Lepisosteus oculatus: one gene and its partners. The protein of the gene in region 2 binds, or shares a complex with, the protein of the main gene of each other region. Links are inferred from orthologs where the notes say so. Each region holds a gene or a part of one and is shown on either strand. Other genes may lie near its edges. The genes, in order: cpsf2, cpsf3 and cpsf4.

Evidence for each region.
Region 1: cpsf3 (region 2) and cpsf2 share a complex: the UniProt entries of both Homo sapiens proteins name them as parts of the cleavage and polyadenylation specificity factor (CPSF) complex. The link is inferred for Lepisosteus oculatus from reciprocal best matches to the Homo sapiens genes CPSF3 and CPSF2.
Region 3: cpsf3 (region 2) and cpsf4 share a complex: the UniProt entries of both Homo sapiens proteins name them as parts of the cleavage and polyadenylation specificity factor (CPSF) complex. The link is inferred for Lepisosteus oculatus from reciprocal best matches to the Homo sapiens genes CPSF3 and CPSF4.

Annotation. Positions count from the first base shown.
Region 1 is NC_090703.1:23,280,268-23,288,357, reverse strand, and holds the start of cpsf2 (cleavage and polyadenylation specificity factor subunit 2), read right to left. Parts: upstream 3,022-8,090; 5' UTR 2,838-3,021; intron 2,609-2,837; exon of another isoform or gene 2,590-2,608; intron 2,221-2,589; 5' UTR 2,192-2,220; coding exon 2,043-2,191; intron 1,884-2,042; coding exon 1,724-1,883; intron 763-1,723; coding exon 657-762; intron 1-656. Other genes in the region: NADH dehydrogenase [ubiquinone] 1 beta subcomplex subunit 1, read left to right, coding at 4,283-4,325, 4,420-4,564, 5,393-5,426. UniProt on the Homo sapiens protein: Component of the cleavage and polyadenylation specificity factor (CPSF) complex that play a key role in pre-mRNA 3'-end formation, recognizing the AAUAAA signal sequence and interacting with poly(A) polymerase and other factors to bring about cleavage and poly(A) addition.
Region 2 is NC_090697.1:12,017,315-12,024,241, forward strand, and holds the start of cpsf3 (cleavage and polyadenylation specificity factor subunit 3), read right to left. Parts: upstream 3,066-6,927; 5' UTR 2,960-3,065; coding exon 2,889-2,959; intron 1,917-2,888; coding exon 1,853-1,916; intron 1,727-1,852; coding exon 1,629-1,726; intron 954-1,628; coding exon 825-953; intron 378-824; coding exon 200-377; intron 1-199. UniProt on the Homo sapiens protein: Component of the cleavage and polyadenylation specificity factor (CPSF) complex that plays a key role in pre-mRNA 3'-end formation, recognizing the AAUAAA signal sequence and interacting with poly(A) polymerase and other factors to bring about cleavage and poly(A) addition.
Region 3 is NC_090714.1:10,876,010-10,883,790, forward strand, and holds the start of cpsf4 (cleavage and polyadenylation specificity factor subunit 4), read right to left. Parts: upstream 3,102-7,781; 5' UTR 2,932-3,101; coding exon 2,829-2,931; intron 2,360-2,828; coding exon 2,309-2,359; intron 2,093-2,308; coding exon 1,940-2,092; intron 1,186-1,939; coding exon 1,090-1,185; intron 647-1,089; coding exon 553-646; intron 1-552. Other genes in the region: ptcd1 (pentatricopeptide repeat-containing protein 1, mitochondrial), read left to right, coding at 4,113-4,622, 4,929-5,069, 5,725-5,943, 6,304-6,405, 6,778-7,548, 7,645-7,761. UniProt on the Homo sapiens protein: Component of the cleavage and polyadenylation specificity factor (CPSF) complex that play a key role in pre-mRNA 3'-end formation, recognizing the AAUAAA signal sequence and interacting with poly(A) polymerase and other factors to bring about cleavage and poly(A) addition.

The DNA of each region.
Region 1 (8,090 bases), on a different chromosome or scaffold from region 2:
AGTGTTCCTAGATCATTTCTCCTTTCACCAAAGCTGTGTCAGAGAATAAAGAATTCACTCCAATTATACCAACCACTCAGGTATATTCTGGTGAAATCACTTAGAAGTTGAGAATTATTATTTTACTTACTGACTAAACCTCTGTCAATTCCGTAACCCCCCATTTGTAACAATATGATTCATGAATTGTATAATTGGTCTTTTTATAACATGTATTTATTGATTTACAATATTTTTGGAGTCCCTTATTATGCCTGACAAGCAAGCAATGGTAAGAGAATTTGTACCATTCCTAATTTGATTAAAAGTTTCCAAACCTGTAAACCAATAACAAAAAAATATATAGTTAAAGCTGTTCAACTAAAAAGGTCAACTTAAAAGGGCTGATTAAACAGAAGTGAGGTGAAATGCCTGAGCACCCCAACAAAGAAAACCTACTGGACAAAGCAAATCTGTCTTATTTCTAACAAGTCTATGTGCAACCTCAAAATGAGAAACAGTCAAATTAAATCAGGAGTTTATAATAAATATGTAGAACCTAAGACCTTACTAGTAATATCTAGACATTTTTCTAAGGGGGCCCCTAAGAATAAGAGTTAAAAGTAAAATTATCTGTAAATGTATCTGTATTATTTGGTTTACTGCAGGATTTGTACCTTTCAGATTGACAATCTGTGAATACTTCAACTGTTGTATTTTGTCAAAGGCTGAGTCCACATCATCCAGGGTGAACAAGGTGAAATCCTCAGTGTTATGACGAGACTAAGAAAAAATACAACAACTGCTGTTAAGAAACAACAACATTGTGCACTGTTCCAAGTGCTCAACAATCCTCTACAGGTTAACTACACTTAAAACAATGCTGCTGTTTTGAAACTGCGAGTTACACTGGACAAGATGGCCTTCAGCTCCACTGCCAGCATTAGGTACAAATGGACACTGGTCATCAAACACTACAACACCTGAGAACATTCATATGTAATTTTCCAGGACAGACATTTAGAAAACAAAATGAAAAATAACAAGTGTATAACATTACACATCAGATCATACATTATGAATAAGCACACAATATATGATAGCGTGCAGCACAGGGGTGAAGTGGATAGCATAGGGGTGGAGTTTATATGTTCTCCTCATGTTCATGTGGTTTTCCTACCACAGTCCAAAGAAATACTGGTAAGTTTAGTGGCTTCAGGGAAAAATTGGCCCTATCTGTAAGTGTACACATGTCTGTGTGCATCCTGCAACGGAATGGCATCATATCCAGGATGTACCCCACCTTGTGCCCATTGCCTGCTAGGATATGGTCTGGTTTCCCCGGCAACCGTGTATTGGATGAAGCAGTTAGAAAATGCATGGCAGGATATTATCTGACTATAAAACATGCTTCTTTTATATGGAGCCAGTGAAAGGGCAGTGGATGTATGTTAAGGCATCAAATTCTACTGTGCCACCCCTCAATAAGTATCATGTGTACAAATCACTGACAAGAATCATTGTACATAGCAAAACATAAATTCCAGCAACTACATCATAGTAAAAATGGATTACTTCCTAAACAAATCCAAATAATTGCCTCCTGGTAATTTAAATGAAGAATATCTTCTAGTGTTTTGCATCTTGCAGCAACAAGTCATGTTTTCAATGCATGAATAAACATACGTCATGACTCTTCATAACTCAATTATTACTGACAAAAAGAGATACAAGTCTCCATTACCTGATACAAGTCATACATAAACATCTGTCCCATTTTGTACACAGGGATGGTAGCATAAATTGTGCAGTTCAGCCCCAGCTTCCCCACAGCATAAGGAAGAGCCCCCAGGTGAAGAGGATCAGGATGGGAGAGAAGCACTGCATCAACCTGATGGACATGCCTGCAATAAAAAAATTAAACAAACTTAAATCCTTACAGATCTTAGTTAAATGTCACTGGCTGATGTTCACGGCGCAGAATTTGTCGTCAGCGCACAGTTCTGCTGTATAAGCAACACAGCTGAATCTATCCATTAAGTAAGGTTATACTGTAAACAGACCTTTTCATTGCGTCGATTATATCCATGGAGAAATTCTCATCCCACCCGCAGTCCAGCAAGAAGCGGAACTCGTCGACCTGAAGCAGGTAACACAGCGCCGACTCTTCCTGCACCCCTGAAATCGCCGTCAGCTTGATGATGGAGGTCATTTTGCTTTATGCTAGCAACACTTGGCACACTGTAGGATAATAAACATATTAGGTCAGAGCCACACTTATGGAAATAATAGGGGAAGAATTTACAAACGAAAAAATTAATATATGAACATGTGTTATCATTTTCATTTGATCGGAAACACTAACACCGATATACAACTCAAAATATGAACTCTATAATACTTCCTATTCCCTTAAAATATCAACCAGGAGAAAATATTTAGGCAGAGTTGTGACGATACACCGCGGAATTGTTTTATCTAAATGTTTGGCTTCAGTTGCGAACATTTCGCTTCGTTGAGTAATACGTTGTCACTGTAGCTGTGCATTAGACTAAATTTCATATTTTACAACGAGGTAAATATCGCAATATTTCTAAAGTTATACCACACCGTCATAAGACCACATTAAACAGCGACACACAACAATTAGACGACCGAACTGCATTCTGTGAAATCACCATAAACTTGTTTTTTTAAAGTTGGTTTCGGTTCAGTGTGGCGGCTTGCTTACTGTAGCAAGGGGGACAATTAGATCAAAATAATTGATTAGATAGGGAACGATCAAATAAAAATACTGACAATAACAAGCTTATGGTTATTACGGGCAAAACTATAAACAATCACGACAGGCCACACACCTTAAAATGTACCCTTCGAAATTTGATATAAACATACCATAAAAACACTTCATAAACACAAAGTTTAACCTTTACATTCTGGTTTTTACCGATGAAATATATGTTTAGATTACATAATTTTAAACGCGTACAATGAGCCACACACCCGGCTCTCACAAAGCGGCCATTGCAAACTAAAATAGAGGTGAAAGGTTATCCGGATATACCATTGCAGATTTGGTGGTTTTTACTTCAAGATATTCTCGGTAAAAATCGGTGGCACGGTTATTTATGCAAACAAATGTAAAGCAATAATAATTTACAATGTATATGTTATGATCTCTGTTGCTTTTTAAATTACTTAAGTAGTAAGTATTCCCATTCACGGCTTTACTCTTCCCGCATTTTAAGAAAGTGGTTCAATCCAATGTCCTCTTAGTCGGGCCTGCCTTCGGTTGACCTAGGGGAAGGTATGAGTTGTATATATATTGTTAAAATGCGAAACTGAGAAAAACGCATTAATTGTATAACCTATGTTTTAAAGACTGTTTTGTCTGATAATCTTATAGGACCTTTTACTGACAATAATTAAAATCTAACGATTCTATTTTACTAGCTTATATATTTGTCTTATAAAAAGCCTGAACATCAAAATCCATACAGAAGGTAAAAGAGTTCATTCATATTTGTTAGCTTAGTTAGTTTTACCTTTTGCTCTTATTTCGATTAAAGTGCTATTGACATGTCGTCGTAAATATGAAATGTTATTTTAATATTGTTTAAAAGAAATTAACCAGTCAGATGTTTCCTTGAGGATCTGAGTGTTCAGCGCTGTCCGAATACAATGTTGCTGTAATGTAATGCATTAATGATCTAATCACTAGTGTTTATCAGAAAGCTGTTTTCTTCATTAAACGAGACAGTTTAAGAATTTGCTTTGGCTTGACATCATAAACTTGGATATCAATATTTTCGAATCTTTAAGTATAGTTATTAAAAGTTATCTCACCAGTATTTTTGAAGCCGAATCGATCTGCACAGAAGATATTTTTCATAGGACATTAAGTGCGAAATGTTAACAATTTTATATAAGATTTGTTCCACTATTCTGCATGATAAATTTGGCACAGGAGGCTCATGTCTGTCAGATACCACTTTATGCGTGATGCAGTTCTGAACAGTTAAATTGTTATTATAGGCCAAATAGCTACACAGTGTGAAAAGTTTAAATTGCTAGAATTTGCTTGTAAGTTTCCGTGTTGATTGAACCCTCTGATATTTCCAAGATGTTGTTGTAGGTTGCAATTAATGACAAGATTATAACTGCGCATTCTGTGTGTCTGCAGATGTTCAGTCAGGTGTATTTCATCAGTGTTGTGCAGTAGAAGACTAAAATCTGCTGTACTGGAAATTCAGCAGTGGCATTTGGCCATTGTCTACAAGCCAGAGCAGAAGAGCCAGGAGCAATGTGCTTGATCGTGGTTCTCAGAATACAGGCATTTATCAGATGTAAAAATTGTATTTGAGCATCTTTTACATTGAGTAGCCATTTGACCTCTACCTTTTGTTAGATTGTAACACAAATGAGCATTTTGTCTCCTAGGCACCATGGTGAACTTGGTGAATATGTTACGAGAGCACTGGGTCAACGTTCTCGTCCCCCTTGGCTTTGTGATTGGGATTTATATGGACAGAAGGAATGATGAGAAACTCACAGCTTTTAGAAACAAGAGCATGTTGTACAAGAGGTTGGTTTCATTGATTGGTCGCATGGTGTGCCTTTGCTTTTACAATATAGAAGCAGAATACTATATTCATCTTGGTCATGGAATATCATAACCCTTCAGATTTCATAAGCAAATTACAATCCTGACTTAAGGGGATTTAGAGGACAGAAATCAGTGCCTTACTCAGGCAGCATTCTGGAAAAATTAGTGTTCCCCAGTATAGAGTATTCAAAAAACAGGTCTTTGTCTAACATTTGAAAAGTTACACATTTAACAATTGAAAAGTATGAAATTGTGATATTGAAACTAGATTTTTAGAATTTGTACTTGCTTCAAAGCTGTTCTCTTTATTAGTTAAGAAGTCCAGAACTATTGAAAAAAATTTTTCTCAAGCTAGTTTTGTAAAGAACAGAGTTTGCAAAGTATGTGATCACCAGTCTGAGGCACAGAGAGTGATCCCCCCTGGTGAGTCAGCACAAAGAGAAAGGGAAGGTTTCATGAAGAGAAAAGAGGGGATATCATCTCGGTTACAATAACACTAAATATTATTGCAGCCTTTAAATAATTCTTCTTTCTACATGTATGTGGACATAGGTAGCCTGCCTGGATTTTCATAATTTTTTTTTCCCCACAACCTTATACTATGCTCCTCAAAGTCCTCGGGTATGAAAATGCATTTTTTTTTTCTTATTACTTTATCACCACTGTTATTCATTGCCGATGCCAATAAATCTTTCACTTTGCAAAAATGTGATTGCCTTAAGACAAAACTAAAACCAGTCTGAGGAATGTAGTGTGAGTAAATGTGCTAGAAAGGTTCATTAAGATGCTCTTAACTTGTAATTGCAGGGAACTGAAACCAGGGGAAGTGACCTGGAAGTAAACCTCTCCTATCAACACACAAAACCGGAAACCTCTAAAATGTTGATGTAACGTTTGCCAGAATTTCCCTTCATTTCTGATCTGATGTGACATTCTGCGTTTTTGTTCACGTGGTGGCTTTTTGGAAGATGTGTTTTGTAATAACATGTAATGGCAGGAAAAAAATAAATAATCTAGAAGTGTTTTTCCTTTTTTAAGTTTGTGTGTATGTAAAGGAAATGTCTGTAACCGAATAAGATGTTATGAATGGTGCCATCTGAAAGGAGTGTGTACCGTTTGTGTTCAGGCACTTATTACAATTCTTGTGATTATTTCCATTGAATGTAAATTAAGCATTATTAGACTGTGTAGCCTGGAGGCACGGGGTACTGGGCAGGTGACCAGTCATACACATGTGAGGAAATTAGTGATACCCACTAACCTTGCCAGCATGTTTCTGTATCATGGGTGAAATTGGAGAATCTGGTATTAACTCATTATGCAAACTCCTCACAGAAGCTGCACCTTGACTGGGATCATTCCCAGGATGCAGGAGCTCTCATGCAGCAGCTCCAACCACCCGCTACTTACCACTCTCAATCCCAGCAATTGGCAAAGACTGCCCAAGTTTTTAAAAGAAAAAGTGAAGTTTATAGATGTACCTTCCAGCTATCTTGGAGACAGTTAAATGTTTTTCTTTATTGGTGTTCCAGTATAACAGTTTTCATTCATTTCAATCCTGTAGTTCCCAAGTAACTTGTAAGACCATACACAGAGTCAGATGTTTAGTGAGTCTAGTTTTATTATCCTGCAATTAGGGATTTACAGTGGTAGTCATTTACAAGTTACAACTTTTGCTCAGGAACCCACCCCTTTCTGAAAGAAATGAACCTCAAAAAAGTGCTTTTGTTCATGTTACTAAATCTCCAGTGAGGGACCCTACCCAGTTCATCATCCAGAATTAAGCTTTTGGGTGAGAAATATTTGATGGTGGATCTCCAACTGAAAAATGTACCCATTTTCCTGGATGCGCAGTCGCACATTGTAAGACAACAGGGAATTACAGGAAAATGCAAAAACACAAGTCTGAAATGGCTGAAACATTTACAAGGTGTCGAGACAAACCAGCAACAGTGCGCACTCATATTGAACACAACAACCACACCTAAATACTTCCATGGAAAAACTGTGTTGAATACAAATAAGAAATTCATTTTCCCCTTTACAAAGTCCTGAACCATCTTGGTTTATGATGAGGCTCTTACCTTGTATCTGATTATGCTTTTCCAGTAGAAATAAGAATGAGGGGGAAAAAAGTATTCTATCTTTGTTACTGTATGTACTGGTGCATTTAAAAAAAACACAAGTTTAAACCTGTCAATTTACAAATCGGCAAATTAGGAAATTGGCAACCAGCTACTGCAACATTAGGAAAGATGAAGACATGCATGCATCAGCCTATATGTGGCTTCATCTTGTATTGATGCATACACTATAATTAGCCTGTGTGACTTTCAGCTTGCCGCTAAATGGCAAAGTGAATTTCCATAAGCCTGACTGGATGTTGTCAAGATTCAGATCGTTTCAAATCTTTGGCCAGAGTAATACTCCTGATCCTGGAAGGCCACACCTCACCAGAGTTTACAGGAAACATTTAATCCTCAGTGAATAAAGACCTAGAAACAGTGCTAATAGAGATCAACGAAGTGAACAACTGTTTCAAATCAAGTCCGTAAGAGTCCAGGGTGATCCAGGTGGATACTCGCAACAAATGCCAATACGCATTTTATTTGGTCAGTTCTTGCTAAACAAAAACACTATTCCTGTACGAGTCCTTACTTTTATTAGGAGGCTGATTTTCAATTCTAAATTTGGAGAAATGTGTTCCAAACATCTATAGATCCCTCCTTGCAAGAAGAGCCCCAGTTGTGTTAACCTTACAGGACACCCTAAATTACCTGCTATTTAAAGATCAGAGAAACACTTGTTGAAGCAGATCTATTTAGGTCTTCTGGTCTTCTGAGTGAAGAATAATATTCTGAATTTTGTTCCACCTGTTTAACAGATTGCAGTTAAATTGCTTCAGGTCAGCAAAAATTGATGATTTAAGGGCTGCCTGTAAAACCTGCTGAATGGAAACGCTTCAGGACCAGGGTTGGACTTATTAGAATTAATATTAACTATTAGAACAAGAGCTTTAATTCTTTTATTTTTGGCATATTGTCATCCAACAATTCATCCATACTCTCATTTTCTAACCACTATCATGGGGGAAGCTGAAAGCTATCCTGGGAAGTAAAGGGTCTTAGGCAAGAGGAGACATGAAGGCAAGACATCCCAGACAGGACACCCGTCCACTAAAGGACACACACAGACACACACTAACACCTGGGGCAGTTTTCCCAGAAGCCAATGAACCTCCCAGTATATATTTGGAGTCTTTGAGGAAACCGGAGCACCACCCCAGTTGCCACCCTAGGTTCGTCAGGTCAGGTAAAAATGTTTTTCATAAGAAGTACAATTTAACAAATCACCTAGAAGGTCAAAGATTTTATTACCAACTTGTTTCTATGTATGCATTTTGTAACTGTTTTAAGTTGTAACTTAGGGGAAAAATGTTTCCTTTCCAACACACTGAAAAGGAAATCACTTGCCATTGCTGTTTGTCATTGCAGCCCTGTCTCAG
Region 2 (6,927 bases):
TCCACGACATTACAGAAAACTAAGTCTATCATATTACTAGACTGAAGAAAAATGCAGGATATCTTAATGTTTAAAAACACATATCTACTCTAGCAGAACTACAGCTTTTCTGTGTTTAGGGCTCAGGAGCAAAAATACAATCTCGTCCGCACCGAACAGCTCCAGTTAAAGAGCAGTGTAGCGTAGGGCAAAGTCCCACCTTCACACCAGCGATTTCAATCATGAACATGGCCGCCCCCAGAACATGGCCCGCGTGGTAGCACCAGAACTTGATGCCTGCGACCTCCTTCACTTCGTGGAAGTTGATCGTCTCTATCTTGTCCATGCTCTCCTCCAGATCTGTCTCTGTGTACAGCATGTCATCCGCTGAAATGTTGCTATGGTCAAAGAGAACAGGCAGGGAGTGTTTAAACAGAAACAGCAATCGGACATTTAAAGGATACTTGAAGTGATCTTGAGGTAATTAAGTCACACTGCATTGTTTTTGCAGATGTTCCCTTTGATCTTATATTTCTGTGGCACATAAACATCAATCTTGGCAAAAAGGTCAATTTTTGACTTTGGAAAAGCAGCTTTCTGGTCACCCTACTGCATAGCAGGAAAGGAAAGAAGTCACATACAGGATGAACGAGATGAAGGAAAAATATACAAGGATGACAGACATCTAACACTACATCTAACAATATCTCGCACGTGGATCCATCCAAGTCTAACAATGAATTATTGGTATAAACTCTGATAACACATTGTACGTTTTTCAATCCACATACAGTAATATGCTGAGGTTTCCTGTCATAAGAAGAAAAACAAAAACAATCACCCACCTGACTTTAACATAATCTGACAGCAGCCACCTGTAAATGGCTTTTGTGGCGTGAGTCATGAATGTCCTCCCCTTAAAGCTGGTCTTCTGCAGGAACCAGGGCAAAGCGCCACAGTGATCCAGGTGGAAACTACCAGACACAATATGCATGTTTCAATAACGAACTGGCACACGTCTTAATTCAATAAGGGCACGTCTCTTTGGGCAGAAGGATGACTGTCAGTTCTTGTCCTGGAGCTCCCCTGTGTTATCATGTTTTCACTTCAGCAAAGCCTTTAACCACCCAAGACCCGCTGATGGCATCTGTAAATGAAATTCTTGCTTGGTCCGACTTTTTTAACCTTCTTCTATGCTCATTCTTCAGTTTTAAAAATACTCTTCTGCAGATCTTTTACAAAAAAAAAACAGCAGACAGAGTGCTGTCCCCTCTCTTCCCCTTGCATATTCAGAGGCAGCAACCTATTAAGTGTTTATGCAAATCTAAAAAGCCCTTATTATTAGATGCCTAATTCAAGGTGTCAACAACACTGTGTTGAGGGGAACAACACTGTATCAGACCATCCCAACAAGTTTTGCTCTTTCCATAAAACAAGAGAAAATATCTGTGCAATATTTGCACCTCTGTGTTCTGCCCAAGTTGAACTGTTTACATTCGACACTGGAACTGAAATGGGCTTGAAACCCAGGAAGTGGCTGTTCCTAGGAATTAGCCTGACCGATTAAAGGAAGGCAAGGACTGGCTAAAAGACAAAGGGGTGCTCTGGGGCCAGGGCTGAGGGCGACCGGAGCGGCTGGTGGTACAAACTGGCTGATCAGGAGGAGGTCAATCTCCGCGGGGTCTATCAAGTCGATGTAGGGGAGCGCGTCCATGCCCTCCAGGCCTGGGTGGATACCACAGTCCAGCTGGGGAAAGAGAGACAGCGCATGGCACCTCTTCTCCAGGTGTCACCCACCCGCCACAGAACTGTGACACCGAGTGTCTGCCCCACCCCGCAGGGGGAGCCTGAGACAGAGCAGGCAGTGTCCTACCATGATCTTCCTTCCCTTGAACTCCAAGATGATGCATGATCTTCCCACTTCCTGTCCGGCGCCACTGAGGGGACCATGAAAAACAGAACACCCTTCTTTAATTCGAGACTCGAGAGGAGGAACTGCATGAAGCAAGTGCAGAGCCTTCCTTTTTTTCCAATTTCCAAACCTGCACAATGTACACTCAAAGAATGCACCGCATTTACAAAACGAACAATTTTAGGGAATTCAAAAGTAAAAAGCAGCTTAGCATGAAAAAAACAATAACAGCTTTAAAAGTCCCCCAATAGATAATGTTCACAAAGTTCAAACGTGCGTTCTCTTTTTCAAGAAATCTAAGTAAGGAACCTAGGATTTGTTGCACCAGAGAAACATTGTAAAATGAAGCTTTCTTAATCTCTTGGTTAAGTCTGCACACCCTATTTATTGAGAATCTGTCTTTTTAAAACTATTAAAATGATATACATCTGGAAAATAGATTTTGGAACCACATATGCAACAGAAAACTGAGTTGTACTGGTCCAAGCAAATACCTTATAATACTAAGACTAATGAACTTTACTGATGTGAACATCAGTCTGGTTTCCTTTGCGTCTACATTTATTTTAGACTACTAAATAAATGAATAAAACTGTAAGAGACCTAAGAACTCTCTGTTGAGATTCCTGTATAGATAAACCCCCAATGTATAATGAAATGTATCCGAACTGTTTTTGTTCCCAATCATCAAGAGTACATAAGGGTCTTTGTGATGTTTAGAAAACTTGTATCAATCAATTACATACAATTACACGTTGTATTACGTACAAAATATACATAAATGAAAATCAACACAAAAATAATTTCGAGTAGCCGACAATGTAGTATGCGTTCGTCTGCACCAAATTAATAGTTTCCGTGGGAAATACTCTTACACAACTGGACATACTACTTTCTATACCGGTGCACTGCTCCTTACTGAATCTCCCGCGACACATTACACAGGCACTCATGGCTGTTCACTGTAACCCACAAACGCAAACCACAGCACACTTACAGGGGTCTAATTAATAACTGATCGCTTTCCTCCGCTGGTACCAAAATATCGGCTTTTCGCTTCGCAGCCATTAAACAACCAGTTCTATTTCATAAGTCATGAAACAATGTTAACAGCAAAAACTTGGAGCACCACTCTGCCTCATAATCACTTGCGCGAAACAGGACAACTTCCGGTTCTGCGTGCAAAATACGTCCCTACTGAAACTATCCCTATCGATCTTTGGTTCCGACATCATTGTTACTAACGGAATACACGCAGTGAGTCTGTGTGTACCTACTGCATAAAAACTCTAGAGAGTATAGTTCTTCATTACTACAGTTTAGACTTTTCGAGTATCACTAAGTATTTCAATAAACCGCAAAATATTCCTTGAAACATATTTTTCTATCTGGGACATAGAATCCAACGGTGATGGGTGTATTCACATCAAAATGTACATATGTCCTCTCCTTACTCAACGCTCTCTGTTAAAGTAACCTTTTTATTTAAGTACTACTAATACTTAAACGTGATGTGTTCTGAAAACTCGAAGAACAGAATTTCAATAAGCCAGCTTTCAGTGAAGCATCAGCAGTTTTAATGAAAAGATTTCAGCTGCAATTGCAGGGTGGCAGGGTGATGCAGTGGTTAGGATTTCCGCATCCAGGGTGTATCCTGCCCTGCTCCCGTTACATGGCTGGCTGTAGAGAAGACCAACACGATACATTCTGGGAATGTCCTACACTGACAGACTGAAAGACCTGCACCTTTTTATTCTTAAATGGACGAAATTCTGAGAGGCCCTGATACAAGTATCCCAGCTTCTCGAAGGCTTCAACAAAGTCAACCCAGCAGATTTCTTCAGAATGAGCAGTGAAACATGAACCAGGGGACACAAGTAGAAACTACATGGAGGTGCATTTAAAACTGAGAACATGAGGCATAACTTTACGCAAAGAGTTGTGGGAGTCTGGAACAAACTACCCAGCCATGTTGTAGAAGCCACACACTAAATCATCTGGAATCTAGATCAAGTTGCTACTAACTACCAAACAAGCTAAATGGACTGAATGATCTCCCCTCATTTGTAATCTTTCTTATGTTAGACAACTAGTTGGTAATATATCAGTATTCAATCCTGCTAACAATAACACGCTGATACACACAGACAACAACATATAGTAGAAGCTTAAACTTATCTTAAACGAATTTCAATTTGTAAACAAAATTAAAACTATGAATCTGTCATTATCCGTTTAAACGCCAGAAAATAAAAAATGGAAAGGCTGCAAATCAATTTCCTTGAATTCAAAGTGGTATTAGGCGCTCTGTGTTGTTGATTTTACAGATAGCTATTAAGTAATCCAAAAATCTGGGTAGATGGGAATTCTGAAGACCTGGAGCAGTTTAATTGTGATCACTTGCAGGCGGGATGTTAAAGTCAGGGCAGGAATGGGCCATGAAGGTCACTGTTGCTTCCTCACAAACGTTTGGACCCTGGGCTAGATCTGGTCTGGGTCACCTTATTGGGGGGAGTATGCATGTTCTCACAGCGTCCACCCAGCGGGCCTGGGTTCGATCCCAGACCTGGGGTGCTGTCTGTGCAGAGCGTAGTAGTAGGTTAATTGGCTCCTGGGGAAATTAGCCCTGGTGTGAGCGTATGTGCTCTGCTGTCGTACCCTGCCTTACGCCCTACACGCCCCGCGACCCTCAGTTGGATAAAGCGGTGATTTAAAGTGTGACGCGATTCCCGCGAGTTTGTAGTAGCGGGAACACGCACTGAGAGACAGTGACGTGAATCAGGACCTGCGCCTCACGCCATCATCTCTGGAGCTACTGTAAATGCCGTGCTAATTGTTCCGGCCTCGCTGTCCACCCTGTAATTCATCGGCCGTGCCAAAGAATAAAGCGCTCTTAGTTTCAATTTGAGAGCCTCGGGTTTGGACTCGTCCGTCTTACAACAAGCAACGAAGCGCGCCCTTCCAATTGTGACCGTCGCCATGGAGACATAAACACACTTCCTGCTGTCTGGCGTTTGCGCCACACGACGCCGGGAATAGGAATGGGGTTTCACCACACAAACACAGCGCCGTGACGACCCGCGATTCGGGCCCGGTTCGCCGGGGGGGTTGTGTGGGTCGCGTCTCCTTTAAGCGGTGTGGGTGGAGCCCAAAGGAAGTGACGTGTCTGCCCGAGCCTCGCCAAAAACACAGACCCGGAGACTACAAGCCTGGCCGAAATAACGCCCAGCCCCGTCGCGAACGGGCTCGTTAAACACGTATAAAACGAGGTATGAGTTGAACAGCTGCTTGAATTATCTCATCAGTCCGACCTGCCAGTTTTCTGATTTACGGTGAAGGGCTGTGCGGTTAAAAGGTGATTGGAAAGAAATGTCAATGAAACGAGGATGCGATGAGGGGGTTGTGGGTGGGGTGGAGAGTTTAGCCTGGCAACGGGTTTCCGTTACTTCAGCTGGGAGTTTTTTTAATTAACGATCTGAGGACGGTGGGTTGAAATTCTCAGTGAGCTCGACTCTCAGATGCCCGCTGTGTGTCATTCACCTGCTGTGCGTTTCTCACGCCGCGCTGGCTTCAAAGTTACATTGTAGGCAAGTTGTGCGAAAGTGGACTTGGCAGGGAGAGCGGTAGGATTATTTATGTCAGCCCGATTGTGAGGCTGTACAAAATTGCATCCCACTCAGTATGGCTCTTGTTACTTAAAGTGCTTCAGTTTGATGTTTGGGACCGTTTGTTCTAGTTTTCTTTCTCGTATCGGCAAGCTCAGCGGGAAGATCGAGACAGATGAGTGCACCTATATCATTGTCCCGAACTTCTTTTTCTTTTCTCTCTCACAAAGACTGTTTTAAAAGCCTGTCAGATGCAACAGGAAAAAAAACTCGGCCTCACGCCTTTGCAGTTCAGAAATGTTAAGCGAATTCACACGAGTCAAACCTCCGAGCAGAGGAAACCGGAGAGTGACAGATGGAGACCGCAAAGCCTCAGGAGACCGTACAGACAGCTGCTGTAGGATTGTCAGTCGGGTCGTAGTGGCTGTAACCCCTGCAGAGACAGTAATAGGCAGTATGTTAATGGTTGAAGAACATGTAGAGACATTCCAGCATAGGAAACAGGAAATTCAAACGGCATCCGCATGCAGTAGGAGCTGTTTTCATTGAGAGGCAGGACAAGTCTTGCGTATTGCCTCTAAATGGAAGACAAGTGGTGGTGTGAACAGTTGACTGTTACAATCGACTTTTTGCAAAGAGTCAGGATGAATTAGGAAAAAAAACTCAAAATAGTCTACACTATTATTACATTTCTAAAAAATGCTGTGAGTGTTCCCTAGGGACTGTTAAGCAGGTATTTCAGCTGTCAGGTGATTCGTGCTCAAATGTGAGTGGATGAGTTTTAAATTGGAAGCAGTGTGATAAACCATTACGTCCGACAGCGTCGGTTTATTCTTTATTTACTGTCTGGCAGCCCTAGTAGGATGTTCATTTTCGCAGAACCTAGCAGACATATGAGCTCTCAACGGAGACACATTTTTAGACTGTGTTTGTGTGCAGGTGCTCCTAGCCCTCCACAACCTTCAAATCCTTCCAGAGAGGCTGGGCAGTCTACACCTGGTGCTCAATAGCAGAGACAGTGAGACAGACCAGGAGCCCTTTTCTAGTTTCTACAGTGCGCCTTTGACCACAGACTGACTAGGGCAGACATCATACTCTAAGGGCCATTTGGTTTTTATTCCATCCGAGCTCTCAGTTATTTAGTGGGGCTAATTATTTAATTATCTTGCATAATGGTAATACTTCTGATATTGTAACTGTACTTGAATAAAGTGAATATTTTCATTAATCAACTGCAACAGATTTTATCAAAGAAAAACATATTCCCACATAGTAACGGGGACACTTTGCTGTAAAAAAGGTGCTGTCCTTCAGATGAGACGTAAAACCGAGGTCCTGACTCTGTGTGCATTGAAAATCCCAGGCTGTTTCTCGAAAAGAGTAGGGGTGTTACCCCAGCGTCCTGGCCAGATTTCCCCCTGGCCTTTACCA
Region 3 (7,781 bases), on a different chromosome or scaffold from region 2:
GTTCAAATATTCATTTAAGAATATATTACCAAGAAGCTGAAATCACTAAAGTACAATTAAACAGCTGTTTCAGAGGTTGAATACCGATTTAAGGATCAGTTTGCTAATGTGTAAAATTGGAAATGTGTATTTGATCATGTCTGTAACTTAGCCTCTGTGAATGGACATACCAACATGTTAATGTGACACAGTGGGCATCACCAGGGACAAGGCGTGGCTCTGTGGCTAAGGATCTGCACTGGGAGGTTGCCGGTTCAAATCCCGCAGCCGGCAGAACAATCCTACTCCATTGGGCCCCTGAGCATGGCCGTGAACCCCAACTGCTCCAGGGCCACCGTATAAATGGCTGACCCTGCGCTCCGACCCCAAGCTTCTCTCCCTGTCTGTGTGTCTCATGGAGAGCAAGCTGGGGTATGTGAAAAGACAAATTCCTAATGCAAGAAATTGTATAGGGCTAATGAAGTGATCTTATCTTATCTTACCTTCCCACATTTCAATTTGCTGAGCTGTGACACCAGATCAATACTGTTGTTAAAAATGGTCTGTACTCACTGCATGAATTTACAGTTGGGTCCATCTGGACAGAAGCCAACCAGGTAGTTGACACAGATGACTCTCCGAGTGTGTCTGTGTCTACATTGGGGACCTGTGAATGAATGACCACATGATGAGCACAAGGGTATTTCAACAGGAGAATTCTGTGACTGCAGAAGGAATCCCACTGATAGTCTCTGAGCCACATGGCTACATGTGTCTCCCAGTTTCAGCCAGTCTGTCCAGGTGACAAGTCTATGCCTCCACTGAATATGAGCAACTCGAATCCAAAGAATCTAAGACACTAACACAGTAAAGTGGTCAGATGGAAGACATGGTTGACAAGACTAGCGAGCAGTTCAGTAATTGTTACAGAGGTTCAGTTTTGTACAGTTTGGAACTTGCTCGTCAACATATCCCTTTCTGACTTAAAGTGGCTGAACCAATACATTTTACTTCACAATCCAGCTCATTTGTTCTGGGTGAAACGTCAAGTCTCTTTCTCATGGTAAACGTCTAGTAGTTTAGAGTGTTGTTTTTAAAAAAAATACTTACCGTGCTTGCAGAATCCTCGGTCATACCAGGGGCAGTCTTTAATCTTTGATTCAGGGTCAATGTGCAGGAATGGGCATTCCTTATTACTGCACTCTCCTGCAAGCACCAAAGGATTTACAGTCCCAGAGAGCTCAGTCACTGCTGAACCAAAGACGCTGCACATCTTGTCCCTGGTGCATTTACAGTTAGCTTCCCTGGGTTAATAATATACACTGCTCACTATTAACTGATCATTTTAAGTACAACTTTACACTAACTGTGTTTTCTTATTGTTTCTTATTGTTATAGTAGTGTTTAACCAGCAAAGACTCTCCAGCGAAGGAAATCATTCTTGCCTTTATTATATTTACATACATTGATGTTTTGTTTTCAAAGCATTAATGGTGTGTTACCTCTGCTCACGTGGACCGTACAATAAGCAGATCTGATGTTTTTAAGAGGGAGTCTAAAGGGAAGCAAGCAAAGTAAGAACTTGCTTCATCTCTCTCACACATACAGAGATTACATCCCATACAAGGCTGGCTTGCAGGAACAGGTATATTATTTCTTCTTAAGTGGATCAATACACCGTTAAAGTGAAAATAACAAATATATAGCACACCTGACGAGGGCTTCGCAGCCGAAACGTCTGTTTTCAGCATGGAATAAACCTTTACCTGTTTCTTTGCAGCTCCCTACTCGAACCTCATATAGCACACCTCTCGCCCCTGTCAACCGCCCGGAGATATGGTCCTTGTATTATTTTAACTGAAATGAACCCTGCTCCTCCAATACAGGTCTGTAAACAAGAAGACCCCACAATGCAAGCATCACAAAGCTCAGTCTACGCTAGCTAGCGCAGGGCACCTACCGAATTTGGAGTAGAAATAGCACTCGGGCATCTTAGTCATGTCATACTCGTGCAGGAACTCGCACTGGTCCCCCTTCTTGCAGAGCCCTCTCAGCCAGTGTTTGCAGACCACCGTCTTCTCTCCGCTGATGTGCCGGAAAGGGCACATCCCACCTTCAGGACAAAAATGACAACAGGTCTCCAGGAACCTTCTGCACGTTTAAAAAAAAAAATGATCGCGAAGGCGCCCTTCCCCAACATTAACAAGTTAGGAATCTTGTGAAAGAATTCTTCCCCAACATCAACATTTCCCCTAAAACAAAAAAATCGACCTCGTCAATGTTAGGAAAGTCTTGTGAATAAATGTGACGAAGGCGTGAGTGTCTTTACCTTTTAAACAGGCAGCTTTCAGGAAGAACTCGCACACAGCGGCACCGGACTCTGAAGGCGAAATACAACAAGCTGATGCTATTACCCTGCTCGATTAGCCAGAGTATCAAAAATATCCATTTTAAATTAAAATGTAATAGCCGCTGTATTGTTCGTCCAGTATAATAGAGGGGAACGGGCTCCACCATTATCGTTTCCGTTTATTGTATAAAATGTATTTATTTATAAAAACTTGAGACTGTTAGCTTGCAATCTTTACTTCAATTCTACATTTACAAATCGGGGCACGGGAAGGGTTTCTTTTCTAGGGAAAATCATAAACAATCAAACATTAGAGTTTAAATACTCTTTATTGAAAAGCTGAATATACTCTTAATCCATTTAAAAGTACACTTTGCCCATACTATTACACTGTGTTTTCTGGCAAGGGAATAAGAGTTAGTAGCAGCCTGCAATCCTTTTTAATTCCTTTCTGGACTGGACCAGAGACGCCGAGGAAGTATCCGTAGTTCAAACTCACTGTCCATGCCCGGGAAAGGCAGAGGTTGAGCTCCCAGCTGCTGCTCAACGGCAATCTCCAGATCAAATTTAATATGATCTACCGTGGCGATCAACTCCTGCATCTTTGATCCGTGGTGAAGAACGAACCACTGGGGTGAAAAACTAATAAATAAAACAATCGGAAAATTAAAACGCGAAATAAGACAAAACACAAATATAAAACACGGCTCTCTTCACCCTTTCCCGATTCGCTGCCTCGCTATCGCCGAAACACCCCGGACCTGAACTCTGAACTCTGAACTCTGACCTAGCTATAGACCTGGCTAATCGATCCCTGCGCAGAAGCGCAAATAACAGCTTTAAATTGTAACTCGTTTCATGTGAGTTGATTGCGTTATGGAATCGAACTACACTATGAATTACACTATTTCTATAAATAACATAATTTCGTTTTTTTTTATTCTGAATAACGCGGATATTAATATTTTCACAAATATTTCACATAACAGGAGAGAGAGAGATATTTAAAAATAAGAGAAAATGATAATATCATCTAGGTTTAATTATTAATACAAGTATCAAATGTTGTCGTGTGTCGATATATCGACATTTCGGGAGTCTTTTTGTAGTCCTTACCCGTGATCTTCAGGTCCTTGTCTCGTGTGGATGGTGGTTGCTGTATTTATGTCTATTTCTAGTTGTTACACTCAGGATCTGAAGGGCTCGACAGAGGAACACTGAAATGCACTAAGATTTATCAAAGGTAATGGTTTTTCAAATCGTTTTTCATATGATGCTTAAGACCTAGTTCCTTCTTAACTGTCTCTTTTAAATTTGCTGTTGTCTTTGAGAGGCTTGTAATACTTAAATCACACTGGATTTCGGAGTTTGCTTTAGTGGGTCCTGCTTGTAACGTTGTGGAATAAAAGATAGTACGGTTTAAAGTAATTCGAAATATTTATTTTCGAAACGCACCACATCTCTGAGCACAGAAAAGTCTTCTTATATCGCTTGACAGCCACGTTGCTTTGCTGAACTCGACCGCTTTGTGACAGTCTAGTTTTATATGGTTTTCGAATTTTTGTTTGGAAGGATTTAAAGGACATTGTATTCTTTGTATGCACAGAGATATAACAGTATATATGGTATTCATATGAACAGTACTTCATGTATTTAATTTACACAAAACGCAATTAAAGTGAAACAGCATGTTATTACCTCGACACTCCGATGATACCATTTTTTAGTAAGGTAATAACTAATAGTTTCTTTTCTCTTTCAGTGTAGTTGTCCGACGTTAAGAATGTCTAAGCTTCTGTCCTTGATGTGCTTCAGAAACCACTGCAATGCGGGTCTTCATTCTATTTCAAAATATCTAAGTATCCCCCCTGCCTTGTCTATTCTGACCTGTAAAGAGGTTCCAGGAGGCCGCCTTCCCCACTTAAGGACATATTCTTTGGGGACAGGCAGGGCTGCACAGTCAAGAAATGTCAGTGTTTCATCCTCCCTGAAGAATTGTCACAGTGCTAAGGTGACACAGAACAGTGCGCCGATGTCTGAGAGAACCAGTGACCCAGTGCCCACATGTGTGGAACTAGAGGGGTCTGACCAAGCTGAGAAGGATTTTGGGTCTTTTGCCAAATCCTATGGATCCCGGAAAGTTTTCCGTAAAATGTCGCCAGAGCTGCTGGATCTGAAGTACAGAGATGCAAGTCGGGCTGAGGAGGAAGAGGAGGTGGTGTCCAGACCAGTGCAAAGAAACACCACTTACTGGTACTTTCTTCAGTGTAAGAAGCTCCTGAAGCAGAACAAGGTAAGACGGATTTGTTGTTTTGCTTCTCAGTCTGGATTTTAAAAGAATGCAGTCTCAAACTCTGTAGGTTATTTCGGTGTGCACATGAATTAACTCCTGTCCCCGGAGCTGGTTTTACACTGTTTGCGTTTCAGCACTGCTTAAAGTATGAAAAAGACTGTGTATAATGGTTATAATTATGAGGAAAAAAAACTCTTGTAAAATGTGCTAATCCTGATTCTCAAGCGCCAGTGTTTTGGTGTCGTGTGCGTCTGGAAAAGAAAATCCCTGGTTTGTTCTGAAGAGGATTCTCTCCTCATCCTGCAGCTTGCTGAGGCTCTGGACATGTTTGAGACGCAGATGCTGAAAGCTGAGCGCCTCGAGCCAGAGGAGTACAACTACACCGTGCTGATTGGGGGCTGCGGCCGAGTGGGCTACCTCAAAAAGGCTTTTAAACTCTACAATGATGTAAGTTAAGGGGGTGTGAAAAAGCTCCACCCTTGTCCAGCTTGCCGACTTGTTGAGATTTGACTCTGCCCTAGAATGTATGCCCATAAATTCTTCCACTGTGGAAATCCACACTAAATAAAGTGTAGTAGAATTGCATTTTGAAATCCAAATATTTAGTGTATAATAATAATGATAATGTTGCTTTATTAGCCCTATACAATTTCTTGCATTAGGATTTCGTCTTTTCGCATACCCCAGCTTGCTCTCCATGAGACACACAGACAGGGAGAGAAGCTTGGGGTCAGAGGTCAGCCATTATACCGCGCCCCTGGAGCAGTTGGGGTTAAGGGCCTTGCTCAGGGGCCCAACAGAGTAGGATTCCTCTGCCGGCTGCGGGATTTGAACCGGCAACCTTCTAGTCACAGGCACAGATCCTTAGCCACAGAGCCACTGCTCCGCCTGAAGGGTTGTGTGTAAGGAAAGTTGCATATTTTAAAATCATCAGTAGCCTACATCTGGCAAAACTGTTAGAATGAAAAAATGACTATTTAAGGGCTCTAAGAGGAAGAAAAACCAGATGACTGCACAGCCTCTTTAATTACGGAGTCTAGTATGCCTATGGAAGAGTGGTGCCATGCAAGTTCTGTAAATGCATGTCTGTCTTTGTGTGCAGATGAAGAAGCGAGGCCTGGTGCCCACAGATGCCACCTACACTGCTTTGTTCAATGCCTGTGCCGAGTCTCCCTGGAAGGATTCCGGGCTACAGCAAGCCCTCAAGCTCCAGCACGAGCTGAAGAGGAAGAACATTCCACTCAACCTCATCACTTACCATGCCCTGCTTAAGACCCATGCTCTGTGCTCTGATCTCAGGGCCTGCTTCCACGTTTTCAAGGTACCAGGTCTGCCATTTGGGGTGTATGATCCCTCTTTGGTGACGCAACTCCTTCAGGATCATAGCTCTTGTTAGAAGGCTTTTTTCCCCTCATAGAATAGTGTAGTACTTGGCAGAAAGTCAGGCCAAAACTGATCTTTACCAAAAGCAATGCACATTGCCTTGTCATTAAACCAAACTCAGCTGAAGAATTTAAGTTGGAGATGGTTTTGTCTCTAATGTTAGGACTAAATTTGTAGCCAAGGCTAAGGTTGAATCTTTGGTGAAGTTAGGGATGCAGTTAGGGTTAGAGCTGTTATTGGTAGTGTGTCAGGCACAAGTTTATTCTGCTTCGAGAAATATTATTTGTTGTCTTTGTAGGAGATAGTTCAAAAAGGCCATGCGATCACACAAGAAACCTTCAACTTCCTGCTTATGGGCTGCCTCAAAGATAAAGAGCATGGATTTAGGTTTGCACTGCAGGTGAGAGAGAATGACTTCCATTTGATCATCTCAACAAACTGCTCTATCCCATGTGAAACGGATCACAAAAGTAATATCCTAGCTTCCTGTTGCAAAAGCAACTTCACAACAATTTTTATATTGTACAGAGTATTCATAGTAAAGCTCTTTTATGAGTTATTAATGGATTAATTACATGATATGAATGATATGTACAATTTGAAGAATATTAACATTCTCTAAATTTAAAACGATCATTTTTTGAGTCTCTCTGGGGTAGCACCGTACTTCCTAGATTGTTGTGCACCATTATGCTAAAAGCTGTACATTTAATTAAACCATTTTAATGGTGTTGCTAAATGGTCTCACATTTTCTTGTAATCTGCTCCACAGGTTTGGCGTCAGATGCTAAAAGTAGGGATAGAACCTAATTCTCACAGCTACAACCTGCTACTTCGTGCTGCTCGGGATTGTGGGATAGGGGACTCCTCAGTGGCTTCCCGTCTACTGCTGAGTAATGAAGAGGCAGTAACCCCAAAGGTCACGAGAGGACGAAGAGGTCAGAAGGTGAAAAATGGAAAGGAGTGGACATGTGCAGCAACCCTAGATGTTGATGCTCTCGAAAGCCAGCTTTTTCTGGAAGCAAGTACTAGGAGGGGAGAGGAATCGCTGCAGGTTGGAAATGTAACTGCTCATTTAAACGAGGAAATGTTAGACAAGCCAGTGATGGAAAATGACCTTAACCCGAATCAGAAGTACTTGAACCAAGATGTATTTTCAGACTTGGTGCCTGTGAACAGAAACCATGTTACTCCCATTGAATCTACTTCCCCCCTGTCTTCAGTGACCAGTGAGAGTCTACCGAACCTACTTGACCTGAGAATTGATTACACAAATATTATTTCCCTTGGGTCTGTCAGGAGTGCTTCTGACAGGCTGGCCTTGATGGGCAACATGGAAGGTTTTCTTAGCAAGATGAAAGGCCACGGACTGAAACCTGACATCAGAACTCTGACTTTGTTAGCTGACATCGTGGAATCTGGAAGCCAGTCAGAATCCAGCTTGCTGTCCATCTTTGAAGAACATGGATTAAAACCAGACATTTTATTCTTCAACACCTGGGTTCGGAAAAAGGCTAAACTGGGTGATCTAGAAGGAGCCAAGGTAAAGAGGAGTCTGCATTGTACTGTGCTGCATTGTGTTAAGTGCCATAATTCAATGCGGTCTTCTCTAACTCTTAAAATTATTCTTTTCTTTCAGGCTCTGTTATCTGTTGTGTCTGAGAGAGCTCTGGAAGCTAATACTCATACTTTCTGTAGCCTGGCTATAGCTTGCAGGACCCAGAAAGACGGCCTGCAGTTGTTGTCTGATATGCAGGTAAGAAAAACAGCCATGCA